2 linked regions of the Diceros bicornis minor genome follow. The protein of the gene in region 2 interacts with the protein of the main gene of each other region in a pairwise test. Links are inferred from orthologs where the notes say so. Each region holds a gene or a part of one and is shown on either strand. Other genes may lie near its edges.

Region 1 (8,206 bases), about 20 Mb from region 2:
TTTCCACAACCCAAGTTTAAAACTAGGTACTAGGGCCAGCAGGTTTGCCCAGCGGAGTGCCACATACAGTGGGTACTTAATGCTGAATGATCACAAAGGTGAAACCCATGTGAGGCATTACGCCAGAAAGGGATGTGGAAGAAACAGAACTTGCCTTAAGAAGCAAGGTTTCGGATTAAAATACATCCCACGTAAATTAGAAATTCAAACAGTATGAGATTATTCCAGTGGGACAAGAGGCCCACAGGACCCACCACCTCCCCAGAGCAGAGGAACACTCCTCAGAATGGCCAGCTGAAAGTATTAACACAAAACTGTCAACTGCCCCACAACAGCACAGACCAACCTGCACTCACAGGGAAGATTAGGAAGGAGCGGCCTGGGTAGAATGGGCTGGCAGGCAGCAGCTCGTCAAGGACATGGGGTGCACAGTCCCCCAGGCCCTGAAACGTGTGTTCCATCGGGTCATGTTGTTGCAGGCTAGAGCCAGGAGGCTGGCTGGCAAAGTGTGGGGAAACCACTTTGTTTTCCTTTTCCTTTCAACCAAGTTTCCAGGTCAGAGGCTGGAGGGGAGGGGAACTTCTAATAAAATTCAAATCACGCTAGTGATTCAAGAGAAAATGTTAGTCTCAGAATTCTTTAGGAGGAAAAGCAACAATGCTTGAGCACTATCATGTACCAGGCCTAGCGCCAAGTCTCACAAACACTATATTATCTCAATATGTCTTTGGGATGAGGAGAGAGAACACCGCAAAGGGTAAAATTCACCTTCACCACAAACGATGGCTATGAGTTGGCTGGGTCCAAAGCCAAGAATAATGTGGGTTACCAGGTAGAGCAAAACAAATTGCTTTAAAATATTGATGCTCAGCAACCTTACACTGGAGACACATCCACTTGGCACCTGAGCAGGCCACTTACATCAGACACCTTCACTGTCATGCTGCAGTGGCCAGGTGTGAATGTATTTCCTAGAAACAGCTGGGAGGAGGAACTGACATTCATACAAAGGGCTCCAGCTAGACACAAATCCATTCACAGGCTTGGATAAGATCAGTTACCTGCAAATTCTGGGCCATCACCTAACAATACACGTGACAATACAGCCTATTTCACCCAGGTAGGCACTGAAACTTCTGTGATTTGCATACCTGTAGGATCTAGAGGACCTCCCCTAGCCCTGGGCCATACTTCATCTGAGAATATACCCAGCAATTATTACCCAGAACCCACAAAACTAGTGAAGTGGTGAAAGAGCAAAGGTTCAACACAAGTCCAAAAGCTCCCAAAACAAAACTTAACTTGTTTCCAGTGCTCAGAAAGTCTTAAATAATCAGCAGGTGAACCACTTGAGAGCCAAGAACAGAGGAATCTGATAAATGTTCAAATGCTGCTGCTCTCTCTTCATTTCAAAGATGCTCTGTACCTTTAAGAGCAAAAGAGATGGATGTTGCTTACTAAGATTCCAAGCTTTGTTTTCTAAATAGTTAAAAAAAAAAAAAAAACCACTAATTTGGGGAAGACTTAGTTACAAGAGCACAATAAGGTGTTCCTTCATCAGTAATTGTGAGCAACCAACAGATTATGATGCACCACGGGGCCAGAAGCCCATAGCTCCCTGCAGGAAATAAATTTAAACACCAAGAAGCCCGCTGCAGCCTTACTTCAGTAAGGGCAAGATGGCTTGTTTAACCTAATTGCCGTGCCCAGACACCCTACCTGGCTTGAGAGGCCTCCCCTCACACCTGGAGCGAAGTCCACCGGCTTTGTGTTAGCGGCGGCCGGGGAGCAGGAAAGCGCCCGCCAACCTGGGCGTCTCCGCCGGAGAGGAAGATCGCGAAATACCCGGCACTTCCAAGCTGTCTCGGGTCAGGTCGGCACCGCCCACCACCAACAGCTCCTTTCCTTCCTTAAGCCTCTCTTGGAAGGGAAACGGGAGGAACCGTATGCCAGGGCACAAAATAGTTGAACTGGCGAAAGCCCGCCCCCGAAGCGTCCAGACTACAGCCTCTCCAAGCATAATTTTGACCCTAACCCCGAAACTAGCGTGGTCCCTCCAGACCGCCGGCCGGCTGGGGGCGGTGTGCAGGCGGAGCGCGACATGTGACCCACGCGCCCCGGGGCATGAAGTCAGCGGGCGCACCGGGCAGGACGGCCTCGCCTCTCCGGACACCCTTTAAGGGGCTGCAAATGCTTATCCTCTCGAGACACCAAGGCTTTGACCTCGGGACCCTAACTAGGTTCAAGCGGTCCCTCTGCCCAAAACAGGGTTCCAATCACAACCGGTCTCCTAGCCTATCCTCCCGGGTCCGCAAACCAAGCCCTTTCTCCTGGTTCGCCGCACTGAACTCCCAGGGGCTGAGCTACCTGCTCGGGTGGGCAACCGCCAGGCCTAGGTGGGGAGCAAGCCAGGGCGAGCTAAAGGGGCCCAGAAGTCGGGGAGGTTCCTGAAGTGACCAATTCAACTCCAACCCCTCAGGACGGGGAAACGAGTGCCCGCGGGCCGTAGGGGACCTCCTCGCCCTTCTGAGCACCAGGCCCTGCCCAGAGCCCGCCCCCCCGCCGCCGCTCCCGGCTAAGACTGGGTACACACGACCTTTGAAAAGTAAACGCGTGTGGGGTTGGGCGACCTTGGGTGGGACGCGCTCAGGTCTGTCTCACCGGAGGGCGTGCGCGCTCCGGGAAAGTTAAGCCGAAGACCGGTCCCCGGGGCGTCGCGTCCTCGCCCCTCGCCCCCGAGGATGATGACGCGCGTGGGGGGCAGAGCGCGGCTGCAGAGCGCGCCCCCCAGCCACGCACACGCGACCTGTCAGCAGGAGCCCGCGGGCAGACAACCCTGGCAGGGGAGGACGAGGGGGCGCGCAGAACGACGAAAGGGAAAGAAGGGCCTGCTTGACAGCAGGAGACGGGCCGGAGACCCTCTGCACGCGCTCGGCGTCCGGAGCCTTCGGTCCCCGGGACACCTGGAGCGCGCGTCGCACCCCGCACCTGCAGACTCGGCTCCCCATCACCCCGACGGCGTCGCCCTCAGGGCCCCGGCAGGTGGTCCCGAGGCGGCCCCAACTTACCAGCTCCTCGGCGACCGCCGGGATGCAGAGTCCTGGCGCCGCCGCCCCCCGCCTCCCGCCTCGGCCCCGCGGCCCGGCCCCGCAGAGCTGCGCCGCGGCCGCTCCCCCACGTGCTCGCCCAGGCCGGTGGAACACAGAGACATTAAATACTGAGGACGCGCAGCGACGTGCCCGCGGCGCGACGCAAGGCCCCGCCCCCCGCCCTCGCGCCCCCGCGCCCGCTCGGCTCACCTGCGCGTGCGCGCCGCCGGCCGTTCCCGCCCAGGCCTCTCCCAGCTGCGCCAGAGGGGGCGCGGTCAGGAGGGCTCAGCCAACATCCCGCCGCCGCCGCCCACAGTCGGGTCCTGCTCGTGCTCTCGCGAGATGAGCTGTAATCTCGGCGGAGCTCGGGAGAGGGGCCTGGCCGGAGCTTTCAGAACCCCGGGAACCTCGAAGTTCTGCCCCGCCCGGTCCCAGCGCGGGTTCTCCCGCCTCGGCTCTGGGCGATCTCGAGCGGTCAGTTAGACCATCTGCCTGCCTCGTCATGGAGAGCCCCCTGAAAAAGGCCAAGGGGCCGGTGAGGGGCAGGGCTCCCTTTGCTTCCCTGCAACTGTCATTACATTGTATGCATAATCAGGTGGCCATTAATAATTGCTCAATAATAACCGCGTAATGGGAGTACTTGCCACCACTTAAATGCAAGGTGCTTGCCCATTTTCACACCTTGGTGATGTCGAAGCGAAACACTTTCCTCTAAGTGGGTTTGGCTTTTGGAATAATTCCCATGAAGAAATAATCACCATGAGTCACTGACTCCGCTAGGAAACTTGGGAAAATAAATTGCCCCCAGACAAGTGGACAGGGTGGGGTTCCCGCTGGCCAGGCCTGCTCTCAGTCTTAAGGCATAGGGACTTTAAGTGAACATTTGTTTGGGCACAATATAGAAAAGAGATCATGCTAAGAACAAACCATTACTTGGGAAAATGCTTCATCTTCATTGGTGATCAAATGCAAATTTAAATGGCAGTGAGATAGCATTTACCTATTGAGTTTTAAGTATAAATTCCTATAGTATATATGAATCCCGATTGCACGGTGTGATTAATGCCATGAAGGAAACAAATAGGAAGCTGAAATAGAAAAGAAATAACAAGAAGAGATCTATTTTAGGTGGTGTAGTTGGAAAAGGACTAAGGTGAAATTTAAACTGAAGCCTACTAGGTGAGAAGGAGCTGGCCTTGCAAATTGTATTTGGGAGTAGGAGTTGGAGAGTATGCCCAGCAGAGGCAACAACACAGGCAAAACAGCTTCTTGTGAACTGGAAGATCAGGGTGGATGGAATCTCGGGGGTGGGTGTGTGTGTGGGGTGGGGGGACAGTGCTGGAAAAGAAGGTTGGAGACCTAGAGGGAGGAGGTTTTATTTTTTGAGGGAACTGCGCTGCCTTACAAACCATAGTAAAGCTTGAATTGTATTCTACTCTGCTCAGCCCCAAAGCCAGGCATGCTTCTGTCTCAGGGCCTTTGCACTTGCTATTCCCTCCAACTGGAATATTCTGCAGAGCTCACTCCCTTACCTCTTTCAAGTCCTTTGCTCAAAGGTCACCTACTCAGTTTCAGTGAAGCCTTCCCTGGACTCCCTATTTAAAATTGTAACCACACACACACACACACACTTCCCTGTTCCTTATCCCTTCTTTATTTTTCTTCATAGTACTTACCACTATCTACATACTATATACCTCATTTGTTCATGAGAGGACACATTATTGAGGGCATGGCACATGGAGGACACTCAGTAAAAATGGCTTCAGTGAATGAATGGGAAGCCATTAAAGAGAGTTAAGTAGAGAGTGACACAACATAATTTCTGTTTTTAAAAGGGAGCTGTAGCTGCCGTGGAAAGAATGGATTAGAGGAAGACCAGCACAGAAGTGGGGAGACGAGTTGGGAGGCTGATGCAGTGGTCCAGGTGAGAAATGATGCTGGCCTGAGCTAAGAGTCATGGCAGTGGGTATGAAGAGACTGCTTGGGACTCAAGATATATTTTGGAAGTAGTAGCAACAAGACTCACTCATGTTATTGGGGGTAAGGAAAAGGGGACAATGAATGATGCTTCCTCTGGCTTGAGTTACTGTGTGAAATGGGGTACAATTTATTGAGATGGGGCAAGATGGGGGCAGAGAATCCATAGTTTCATTTCGGACCCCTTACGTTTGTACTGTGTTTGTGACATCTAAATGCAAACAGTAATTAAGTTGGATGTGCAAGCCTGGAGCTCAGAGGAGTGGTCTGGGTGGGAAATACAAATATGTATTGAAAATCACGTACAAAGCAGATATTTTAAAGAAGGACAATGCCCTGGTGATGGTGGAGGTGGGAAGTGCCTACAGGGAAGAAATTGAAAAAATGATGTCTAGTGGGGTAAGTCCTGGAAGCATTGGTAGGAAAAAATGAGGAGAGGGAGAGAGTAGAAGAAAGAGGAGATGAGGCTCTGAATGTGGTGATGAGAGGGAGGGACAGAAAGCAGGGGGCAAATGCGATCAATATGTCAGTCATATCCTGTGCTTGGAGACAGGGGCAGAGCCTGCCAGGATGGAAGGAATGAGGAAGAATAAAGGAAAGGGGTAACCGGAATACAAGGGAAAGTACAAGACAGGAGTCAAAGGGGAGAGCACAGGATGAACTGAAACCACAACCAGAGATCAACCCAGCAGCTGTGGCTGAGGAGGTGGCCACAGGTCAGGGCAGTTCAGAGGTCACGGGGTGGCCCTAGTATAAGATTAGAAGGTGCTATGAGAAGGGAGGTGAGGGTGGAAGGTGATCCTAAGAACTTGGCCATGAGGAAAATAGGACTACATTGTTAGACTTAAACTTGAACATCAGCTCAAAATGGGCAAAGTGTCTGCTGAAGGCAAAGATTTTAAGATAGGATGCATAAAACAGCTTCAAGGAAATCCACGAACCCCCTGAAATTGCTCACATGGTTTTATAAGTATGATGTTTTTCTGCAGAAATAGTTATGGATAACTTCTATCAGATTCTGTGATCCTGACATAAAAAAAAAAAAAAAGAATAAGGATCTGGTAAATAGAGCAAGAGAGAAGGTAATGCTGTATCTAAAAAAAAAGATTATGTCAGTCAGAAGGAAGGGATGAATAATAAAGCACTAAAAGGAGACAAAAAAGAAGTGGGCAGTGCCCACTTAAGGGAGGAGGTCCCCAACACAAGCTAATGTAGAAGCTGCCTTCTCTGATAAGTGGAAACGGTCTGATCAGAAGCCGATGCAATGATTCATTGAAAGTCTATAACGCACACCACCCTTCATTCTGACTCCATCCTCACCAGGCAACCTTCTGGTATAATTCTGCTCAAGGAGAGAAGTCGTGGTTGGACATGTGGAAGGCACTGGTCCGCCTGAGAGGTAGATTTTTGTCATTGTAAATTACGTAAGTGGCCCTCTTGTTTTCTACATCTGGTGTGGTTTGTGAATGCTTTTTGTTTGACTCAGCTTTCAGTTCTGGGACTCGAACATGGTGAAGTTTCTGAGCCTGTCATAAAGCTGAGTGAGGGCTTGATGCCGGGCCTTAGGGAATTTCATCAAAACATCATCTTGTGAGGCTCTTTTATAAAGTCAGCCAGTTGTTTTCTCTTGATAGCCCCTCCAACTTAAGGGGGCACATAGTTGAGAAATGTCCTGCCTTTCCTACTGGAAGCATCTACAGAAGGAACTTTTTCAGTGCAAACAAATATGAACTGTCTCCTTTATGGGCAATACAGTGAAGGAGTGTCTTTACTCCTTCAGTTTAACAGAATAAACAAGTGGAACCCAACCCCTCCCACTCTCCACCCCACTCGCTATTCCCTTAAACTGAAGAAGCACTTGGTTATGGCCTGGGGCCATGTGTGTTTGCAGGGAAGAATAAATGATCTGCTCCTAGACGAGTCAATGGAAAGAGATGGGGAATAACAATATTAATGGCCAATACTTAATGAGCACTTAATGCCCAGCACTGTGCAAAGTACTTTATCCTAATCCTCCACCAACCTCAAAAACTAGATACTCTTGTTATACTGTATACATTTTACATTCCCTTTAGTCACACAGCTGCAGAGGCAAGGTTTTAACGCAAGCAATCTGACTTGGAGCCCATGGATTAACCAACTCACTAACTGCTGCTGTAGGCAGACCTAAAGATCCTAGGAGCAGATTTATACAGGGGCATGTCTGCTATAGATTGAATTGTGTCCCCCCCAAAAAGTTATGTTGAAGTCCTAATCCCCAGTACCTCAGAATGGGACCTTATTTGGAAATGGGGCAGATGTAATTTGTTGAGGTCATAGTGGAGTAGATTGGGCCCCTAATGCAGTACGGCTGGTGTGCTTATAAGAAGATGGCCACGTGAAGACAGAGATACACAGGGAGAACACCGTGTGACAACAGAGGATTGGATTTATGCATCTGCAAGCCAAGGAAAGTCCAAGATTGCCAGCAAACCACCAGAAGTGAGGAAGAGGCTGGGAAGGATTCCTCTACTGGTTTCAGAGGGAGCTCAGTCCTATTGACAACTTGATTTTGGACTTCTTTCCTCCAGAACCATGAGACAATAAATCTACTATTTTAAGCCACCCAGTTTTTGGTACTTTGTTACAGCAGTCCTAGGAAACTGACACAGTGCCCTTCTTTCCTGAACCCATGGATGCCAGGTAGAAAAAGGGAATGTGAAGTCATTCAGCAGGTGATAAAAGGGGGCTGTCCCCTTCCTCCCCTCCAGACCCAATGTGCCCTGGCTTCACAGGGCAGAGGCCCCATCCAAGTGGCTATGATGAAGGGGCCTCGAATAGACACTACCCAGGCTCTGGCACCAACACCACCACATACTTTCTGGGACTTTTCTAGCCATGTAGTTAAGTTCTTAATTCTGGTTCTGTTCAGTGGTGGCTGGCAGGGGTATGGCTGGCCATTTCCCAGAGTACCCTCCAGTTTTCCCAGCTTCTTCGAATGGTGGTTCAGTTTGGAAATTGAGCCTAAGAAACTCTGCAAACTACTTCAGGCAGGGTGAAGTTCTACCCAAAACCAGTTTAGGCCTTCAACTACAGCCATGCTCGTGCATGTAAAGAAGCAATTAAATCATCAGAGACTGTTACCTACCTCATTTTAT
Region 2 (7,227 bases):
AGTCCCTTGAGGGAATTTCATTCAGTCCTCCCCCTGCAAAAGAAATCATGGTGACGTGGGAAGTGTGTAAATGGTAAACAGGACAGAGAATTACAAGGGCACACAAGTTAGCTCTAAGTGACAGCAAGTAAGCACAAGGAAGAACATCTGACATTCCCTATACGTAACGCCTACCCCAGGGGAGTGTTCTAATGTCTCCCAAGAAATCACTGGAGCAGAGGATCTGATTAGCCAACTACTAGTATAATCAAAAATTTTAAAAACACATAAGGAACCTCAGATGAATTTTAAAAGCAACCTTTTATTCCACACTCTTTTACTACATTCCAGCCCTAAATGATAACACACTCACCACCCACTGGTAGGAGGGAAGATCCTTAATAGAAAAAAAATAAAACAGACCAAAAAAACCTTGCTAAGTAAACGATAAAAGATTTGGACAGGAAAATGTCAAAACACGTTAAATTTTAAACTTACGTGAAGATGCAATAGATAAATTGCATTTAATGAATTTTACAGGGTTCCAACTACCTTGATGTGAAGTAAACAGATACATAATAATGAGCAGCTAACCTTACCCTGGAATTTAAAGTTTAGTAATTTAACAACAGAGTCATAAACTGTTTTCCTTCCAACTCCTAATTACTGTACTAAGCAATAAGATGAGAAGATAAAATCCAGGTGCCCTCCACTCTGCAACTGAATTCAATACTAATCGGACTTTTCCAAATATAATGTACACAAAACCACTGAGGTAAAACTATAAATTTAAAAAGAGAGAGAAAGAAATACCAGAGTAAAGAGCTCAAGTGCTACACTGTTAGTCATTTTGTTTTGACAACTTTCATGATAAAGGTCAATAACGAGTAGACTAATTAACAGACCATGAGAAAGTGTGTAGCTCCCTGACAGGCACATAAATTAGAGGCATGGAAAAAGAATCATGCTGCTACATCAGAAATAGACACTCCAAAAAAAAAAAAAAGGGTCATTAACTTTAGGACAGATTTATACCAGCCACTTTTCCAAGTGAATCATATAAACTCAGAATCCACTTCAGTAGAATTTTCTGTATAGCAAATAACACTGAAGGCCCTCAAGAACAATGATAAATCAGATCCTTTGTGCTTCAAAACATTCAGACATATTTCAGAAATATCAATACATGTATTCAACTGATCAGAGAAATCATTCAAAAATCAGGTCTCTGACTGATAGAAATGAGAGAATTGGGTCTCAGAGATGAAATTGGTTTTTGTCTGAAATAATGTATTAAAAAGACCAAAAAGATGACGCTGATAATAAGGTAGCACATTAACAAAAATGTCCCAAGATTAACGCAGTCACTATATAAACCACCAAATACTGAAATTTCATGGTCTTAATATTTTTAATCAAACATACCTAGATTAACTCTGTACTTGTACTTAGTTTTAAGAGCCCAACAATTGAGCTTCTCCGCCCAAAAATTACTTGACTACTTTAACACTTCCACCGCATTGTCTCTACTCATAAGAAAATACTCAGATTCCTTCTTTTGGAAATTCAGTTGTGATAAAATTCAGTTTGAAAAGGATTACACGCGAGGAAATACTTAAAACAGTGAGAAACTTGCTGATTCAGACCGCAGCCCCCCAGACCAGCCAGGAACACTTCCTTGCGGTCATCTTAAGGAAGTGTTAGCTTTCTGTGCTCTGCTGAAAAGACCGATCTCTTGGGAATCTCTCAAGTAGTTAAGTCGTCTGGCATCACACCTGCACTGAGCTGGACGGGTTAACAGGTATCGCGTATTTTCGAGAGGAAGGACAGAAAAGTGCCCTTCACTTCACTTATGCCACCGTCATGGCCACAAAAAGAAGACGGGAGGCCGATCCTTCATCCTACTCTAGTCGGAAGACCACAGCGGCGGCGAGGACCCCTCAGAGAAAAAAAATCAGGAAAGGAAGGGAGGTGAAAGACGACAAAAGGAAATTTTTGAGCCAGCCTAAGATCATCCTGGGGGGTGGGGGGGGGCAGTAATCTCGGGAAAGAGAGGGAAAGCGACTGCTAGGCATGACAAGCAGGAGACAGCAGAGAGGAAAACAAGAACGGCTAGGTCTCGAGATCACCCACAAACGCTGCGGGAAACGATGGCGGATTCCGGTAAAATCGAGCTGTCGTCCTTCAGGAAAGGGGGGAGGGCGAGCGAAGAGGCCGCGGCGCGCGGGGGCGGAGGAGGCGGGGGCGCGATGGCCGCGGAGGGCTCGGGAAGGCCGCAGAGGCCGGGGGCCTGGGGGCGCGGAGTGGGGGTAGCGCGCCGGAGAGGAGTAGGGGGCGGGGCGGCGGGGAAACCCCGCACCGGAGCAGACGCCCCGGCGGCCCGGGGGCCCTCGGAGGTGCAGACTCGGGGCCGGCGGCCCGGGTCGTGAGGCCTGCGGGGAGGCGCCCGCCGGGGCCGGGGAGGGGCAGGGGGTGCGGCCGTTCCCCTGCAGGTCGCTCCCCGTGACGCCATCTTGGATCGGTCCAGCGCCCCCAAACGGGCGGCGGGGCGGCGAAGCTCGCCGCGCCGGGGCCCTCGACACACCCCACTCACCTGGGGACGGGCGGCGGCGGGCACGGGGCTGAGGGTGCGAGGCTGCAGCTGGCTGAGGTCTCCCAGCGATTCCCTCCCAGCCAGGGTCCACTCTGCGATAGCGGCTCCGCCGCGGCTCCACCGGAAACGACCTGGCCGCAGCCAATCAGCGCTCGGCTGCCGACGTCAATGCGCCTCGCTCTGGCCAGAGCCGTCGCCTTGGCAACCTTAAAGGCGCCGCGGCCCCAGGTCTTCCCCCGCCCCTCTTCATCCTGAAATCTTTCTCCTTCTGCTCGTTTCTGTCTTACCTGGTCTCTTATCCGCAGCCCCTTCCTCACTCCCGTCTTTTCCTTTCCCCATTCTCTCTAGCCCGGTGCTTCCCTCCTTCGGTTCACCTGCCCCTCCTTACCTGTTCCTCTCTGGATGCCTCGGGTCCCCTTTATTCTTCCTCTGCTCTTCGCTAGCTCTCTGCGCGGCTATCGGGAGTTCTCTCTCCTCTGCTCCTCTCCTCCCCACTCTCCTGCCTCCCTCGCCGCCTCTGCCTTTTCTCCCTCCCTTCAACTCCCACCCCCCCCCCCCCGGGCCGACCCACGTGGGGCGTCTCGGATGACAGGTGGGCGACTCCGCCCCCTGGCCCCTGCCGGGGGAGGACGCGGGGCCGGGGCGGGAAGGTTCCTGCCTTTTCCAGTCCGCGGAGGAGGCGGCGGCCCCGGCGGATCTGCGGCAGCTGCGCCGCGGGCCGAGCCCGGGCGGATGCCCGGGATGCGCACGCCCCGCCGCTCATCCTGTGCCCGGCCAGCGCCGCGCGGGCCTCCGGGCTCGGGCCCGCCATCCGGTCCAGGAAATCTGAGCCCCGCCAAGTGTCTGCTTGGCAGATCGAGCTGCTCTCCCCTCCGGAGGTGCTGTCGTCAAAGGAGGCCACACGGTCCCTATGAGCACAAGACACTGGAAAGGACTTTGTCAGGGTCCGAGAGAGGCCTCAATCCTTCTAGAACCTGAAATACCCCCCATCATCACGCCTGACCCCGCATGGTGAGAAGTACAAAGCGTGCCGATTGGCATAAGCCCTCTGTGACCACACAAGAAATCTCAACTGCCCTCAAAAACTGCGCTAGTCAGGGATGACTAGGGGGGAAAAAGCGACTTCTTTACTGCCTCAGCCATTTTTTACCATCAGAGTATCTGCCCGTGGAGGAAGAAAGGGGAAGCCGGGGACAGTTTTAGGCACATAAAGTCGCTAAATGAAAAAGGCCCGTGGAGGACACAAATTCTTGTGTCGGACTGTACCTGCTATATCGCATGGTATATAGCTCCAGAGCTGTATGTGTAAAATACACAATGGGTTTGTGTACAAAAAAAGTATATAAATATCTCAATAATTTTTATACTGTTTCCAGATTGAAATGGTAACATTTTGGATATATTAGGTTAAATACGATTAAAATTAATTTCGCCTTTGTTTTTTACTTTTTTAATATAGTTATTAGAAAAATTTTAATTACATATATGGCTGATGTTTTATTTCTTTTGGACAGCACTGCCCTAAGAGGCCAACTGCTCCCCTAAATCAAGCAGTGTGATAAGCGTCCTGCTCATCAGAGTATTTCTTTTAGTTAGTTAGAGTTATCCTCTGCTTTCTGAAAGAGCAAGTGTAGGCAACATCACAAGGGCCGATTAGGCCCACAGAAGAATGTAGGAGGGAAGTTTCCCCTCCCACTGACCCCTCCTCATGCTGACCTGGCCTTTCGCCAGGGATGGGAGGAATGGAGGATTAAGGACAGCGCCTCAGTCGTATAGGATTTCACCCTCGTCAGTACAAAGAAGGTCTAATAAACTGAACCCTAAGCTGGCAAGCAGGAGAGGGAATTCGATAGCATTGAGCAGGCCCGATCGTGTTCTAAGAAGAAAACACTGCCGTCAGATAAATCTGAGTGTGGTTTCAGGCTCTGCCATCTCCGGTAATTGACTTAATCGCCATGAACCTCAGTTTCTTCCATCATAAAAGGATAAGCAGGGCTCTGTTAAAATTAACTAGTAAAGATAATAATGGCAAAGACGCATACAGTGCTTACTATGTTCCTGGCACTGTTCTAAGTGCTTTACACATAATAATTAATTTAATCCTCAGAGTAACTCTATGGCGTGGGTACTATTATTGCGTTATTGTTACGGAAGGAAAATGAGGCATGAAGAGTTAAGTGACGTGCGCAAGGCCGCACAGCTAGTGTGGCTCACACCCAGGCAGTGATCTTTAATCACTCACTCTCCTTTGCAGCATAGTATATATAAATAAGGTGCCCAGCACAGTGTGGGATGCAGTAAATAAATGTTTACTTCCCACTTCTCCCTCTTCCTAAAGCGCCACTCAAACTACAAGCTTAAGACTGAGTTGTACTGTGTCCCAACAGTAGTGTTACCTCCCTAAGTCCATTAAGACACTTAGAATAAGGAAACAAGCAAGCTGGTGATATTAAGCCCAGTGCTTTGAGTGACAGCTGTTTCCCTGCCTTAGCACGGGTGTGTGACCCCATTCAGCTGCATTTGGGCATCTGTCCAGCCACGGGCCTGTTTCCTGTGTCAGTCGCGTTCAGCCTTGTTCTGGCTGCCAAATCCTCATATGCTGGGGCTTTAACAGACAAAAAGGGAAATGGACAGGAGATAGTTGAGCCTGGGGAGAGTTCACTGAGACAGCTGTTCTGAAAAACCAAAGAGCCACAGTGGTTTCCAAATGGTGTGAATGCCCTTTCAGTACCACCGGGCCGCTGTGAGAATGACAACTTGTAAATTACATTTCAGAAATGACAATTGCTCTCCTGTCGTTTCTGTGCGGTTTCCCCTTCTCCAGAGGACTCTGCCTTTGATGCCAAGGTCCTTTGACAGGCCTTTCCTTTGGCCTGTGTCCTTGAAAAGCTCAACAAAGTAAGTTTCTAGGATAGTGGGGCTGTAAGTAAACTTTTTTCTTTAAAACAAAGTTCCTCAAATGCTGTTAATGATGTTTGCAAAACAATAGCAAACAATCTTAAAGCAAAGTAAATATCAGTGGTCCATTTAGTAAGCAGAAGTAGAACTGAGAGAGCCAATACACAAAAGGAAGGAACACTTTTGTGGCCCATTCTTTTTCTTTTTTTTATAATTTTATTTATTTATTTATTTTTCCCCCAAAGCTCCAGTAGATAGTTGTCTGTCATAGCTGCACATCCTTCCAGTTGCTGTATGTGGGACGCGGCCCCAGCATGGCCAGAGAAGCAGCACATCGGCGCGCGCCCGGGATCTGACCCCGGGCCGCCAGCAGCGGAGCGCGCGCACCCAGCCGCTAAGCCACCAGGCTGGCCCTTGTGGCCCATTCTTAGTGTTTCTTATGCCTAAGGTTTCCATTGGCTAAGGACGAATCCACATATTTCAGATTTCCAAGGAGACCTTTTCAGACTACCACCACCTATTTGGTGTGCGGTGGTGCCCAGGATTTATGCTTCCTGTGCAACCCAAGGTTGTGGTTTCAGACATAACCCAATTCCAGCAAGCATTCAAATGCCAAAAGTCTTCCTATTTTTCTCACTGGCAAATGCTTATCTACATGGGGAATGAGTGTTTATCTTGAGCATTAATTGAAAATATTAACCATGAAACCAGAAGTGTGGCAATCTTGGGTCTAATAAAAATATCTTCATCCAAAATAGCATATTTAAATCCACAATGTTCCACAAGAGAGATAGAGAGTTGTATTAGTCAAGTTCTCCAGAGAAACAGAACCAATAGAACGTGTATCTAGAAAGAGAGAGAAAAGAGATTTATTTTAAGGAATTAGCTCGTGTGATTGTGGAGGCCAGCAAGTCCAAAATCTGCAGGGCATGCCGGCAGGCTAGCAATCCACGAAAGAGTTGATATTGCAACCTTGAGTCTGAAGGCAGTCTAGAAGCAGAACTCCTTCCTCGGGGAACCTCAATCTTTTCTATTATGACCTTCAACTGATTGGGTGAGGCCCACCTATTATGCAGGGTAATCTGCTTCACTCAAAATCTACTGATATAAAAGTTAATCACATCCAAAAAATACTTTCAACAACATCTAGACTAATTTCTGACTGAAAATTGGATACCAGGGCCTAGCCACATTGACACGTAAAATTAATCATTACAAACAAGTCAAGCCCAGATATTTGTATGAATTGCTTCTAAATATTCTCCCTCTGATATCAATTTCCCTTGCCTAAACTATTTTTAACTAATGCTCACCTTATATCTATAGGTTATGGATCTGAGGCTTTAAAAAAATAGTGATGAGTCTGTCACCCACACAGACCTTTCGAGTGTGTTGACTAGAATCAGGAACTTTCTTTGATTCTGTCAAACTGACTAAGTCAACAAATCTTGTTAATTTGTCCCCATGTTAGCATTTTACTGACCATGTATCTATACCTCTTCCAGGAAATCTTAATTTTTTTTTTTTTTTTTTTTTGGTCATGGTCCCCACTGAGAAGCTCATGAAAACAATGGGCTTTCTCCTCAGAAAATATGCCCAAACAGACACACGTAAGACATTTATCCTCTTATTTCAGGGGACTCAGAGATCTGAAGCCCATCTCTGCATGGATCCCAGGTCCAGAAGCTTTTACAAATGTTTCCTGAGCGTCCACACTGCAGGCACTGGGTGTGGGGATGCAGAGATGAATGAGTCAT

What was found.
Region 1: the proteins of PRKAR1A (region 2) and AKAP1 interact in a two-hybrid assay, tested with the Homo sapiens proteins (2 studies listed by BioGRID and IntAct). The link is inferred for Diceros bicornis minor from reciprocal best matches to the Homo sapiens genes PRKAR1A and AKAP1.

Annotation. Positions count from the first base shown.
Region 1 is NC_080757.1:30,451,755-30,459,960, forward strand, and holds the start of AKAP1 (A-kinase anchor protein 1, mitochondrial), read right to left. Parts: upstream 3,142-8,206; 5' UTR 3,069-3,141; intron 2,453-3,068; exon of another isoform or gene 1,720-2,452; intron 1,427-1,719; exon of another isoform or gene 1,303-1,426; intron 1-1,302.
Region 2 is NC_080757.1:50,074,423-50,081,649, reverse strand, and holds the start of PRKAR1A (cAMP-dependent protein kinase type I-alpha regulatory subunit), read right to left. Parts: upstream 3,040-7,227; 5' UTR 2,961-3,039; intron 2,682-2,960; exon of another isoform or gene 2,573-2,681; intron 2,132-2,572; exon of another isoform or gene 2,113-2,131; intron 1-2,112. UniProt on the Homo sapiens protein: Regulatory subunit of the cAMP-dependent protein kinases involved in cAMP signaling in cells.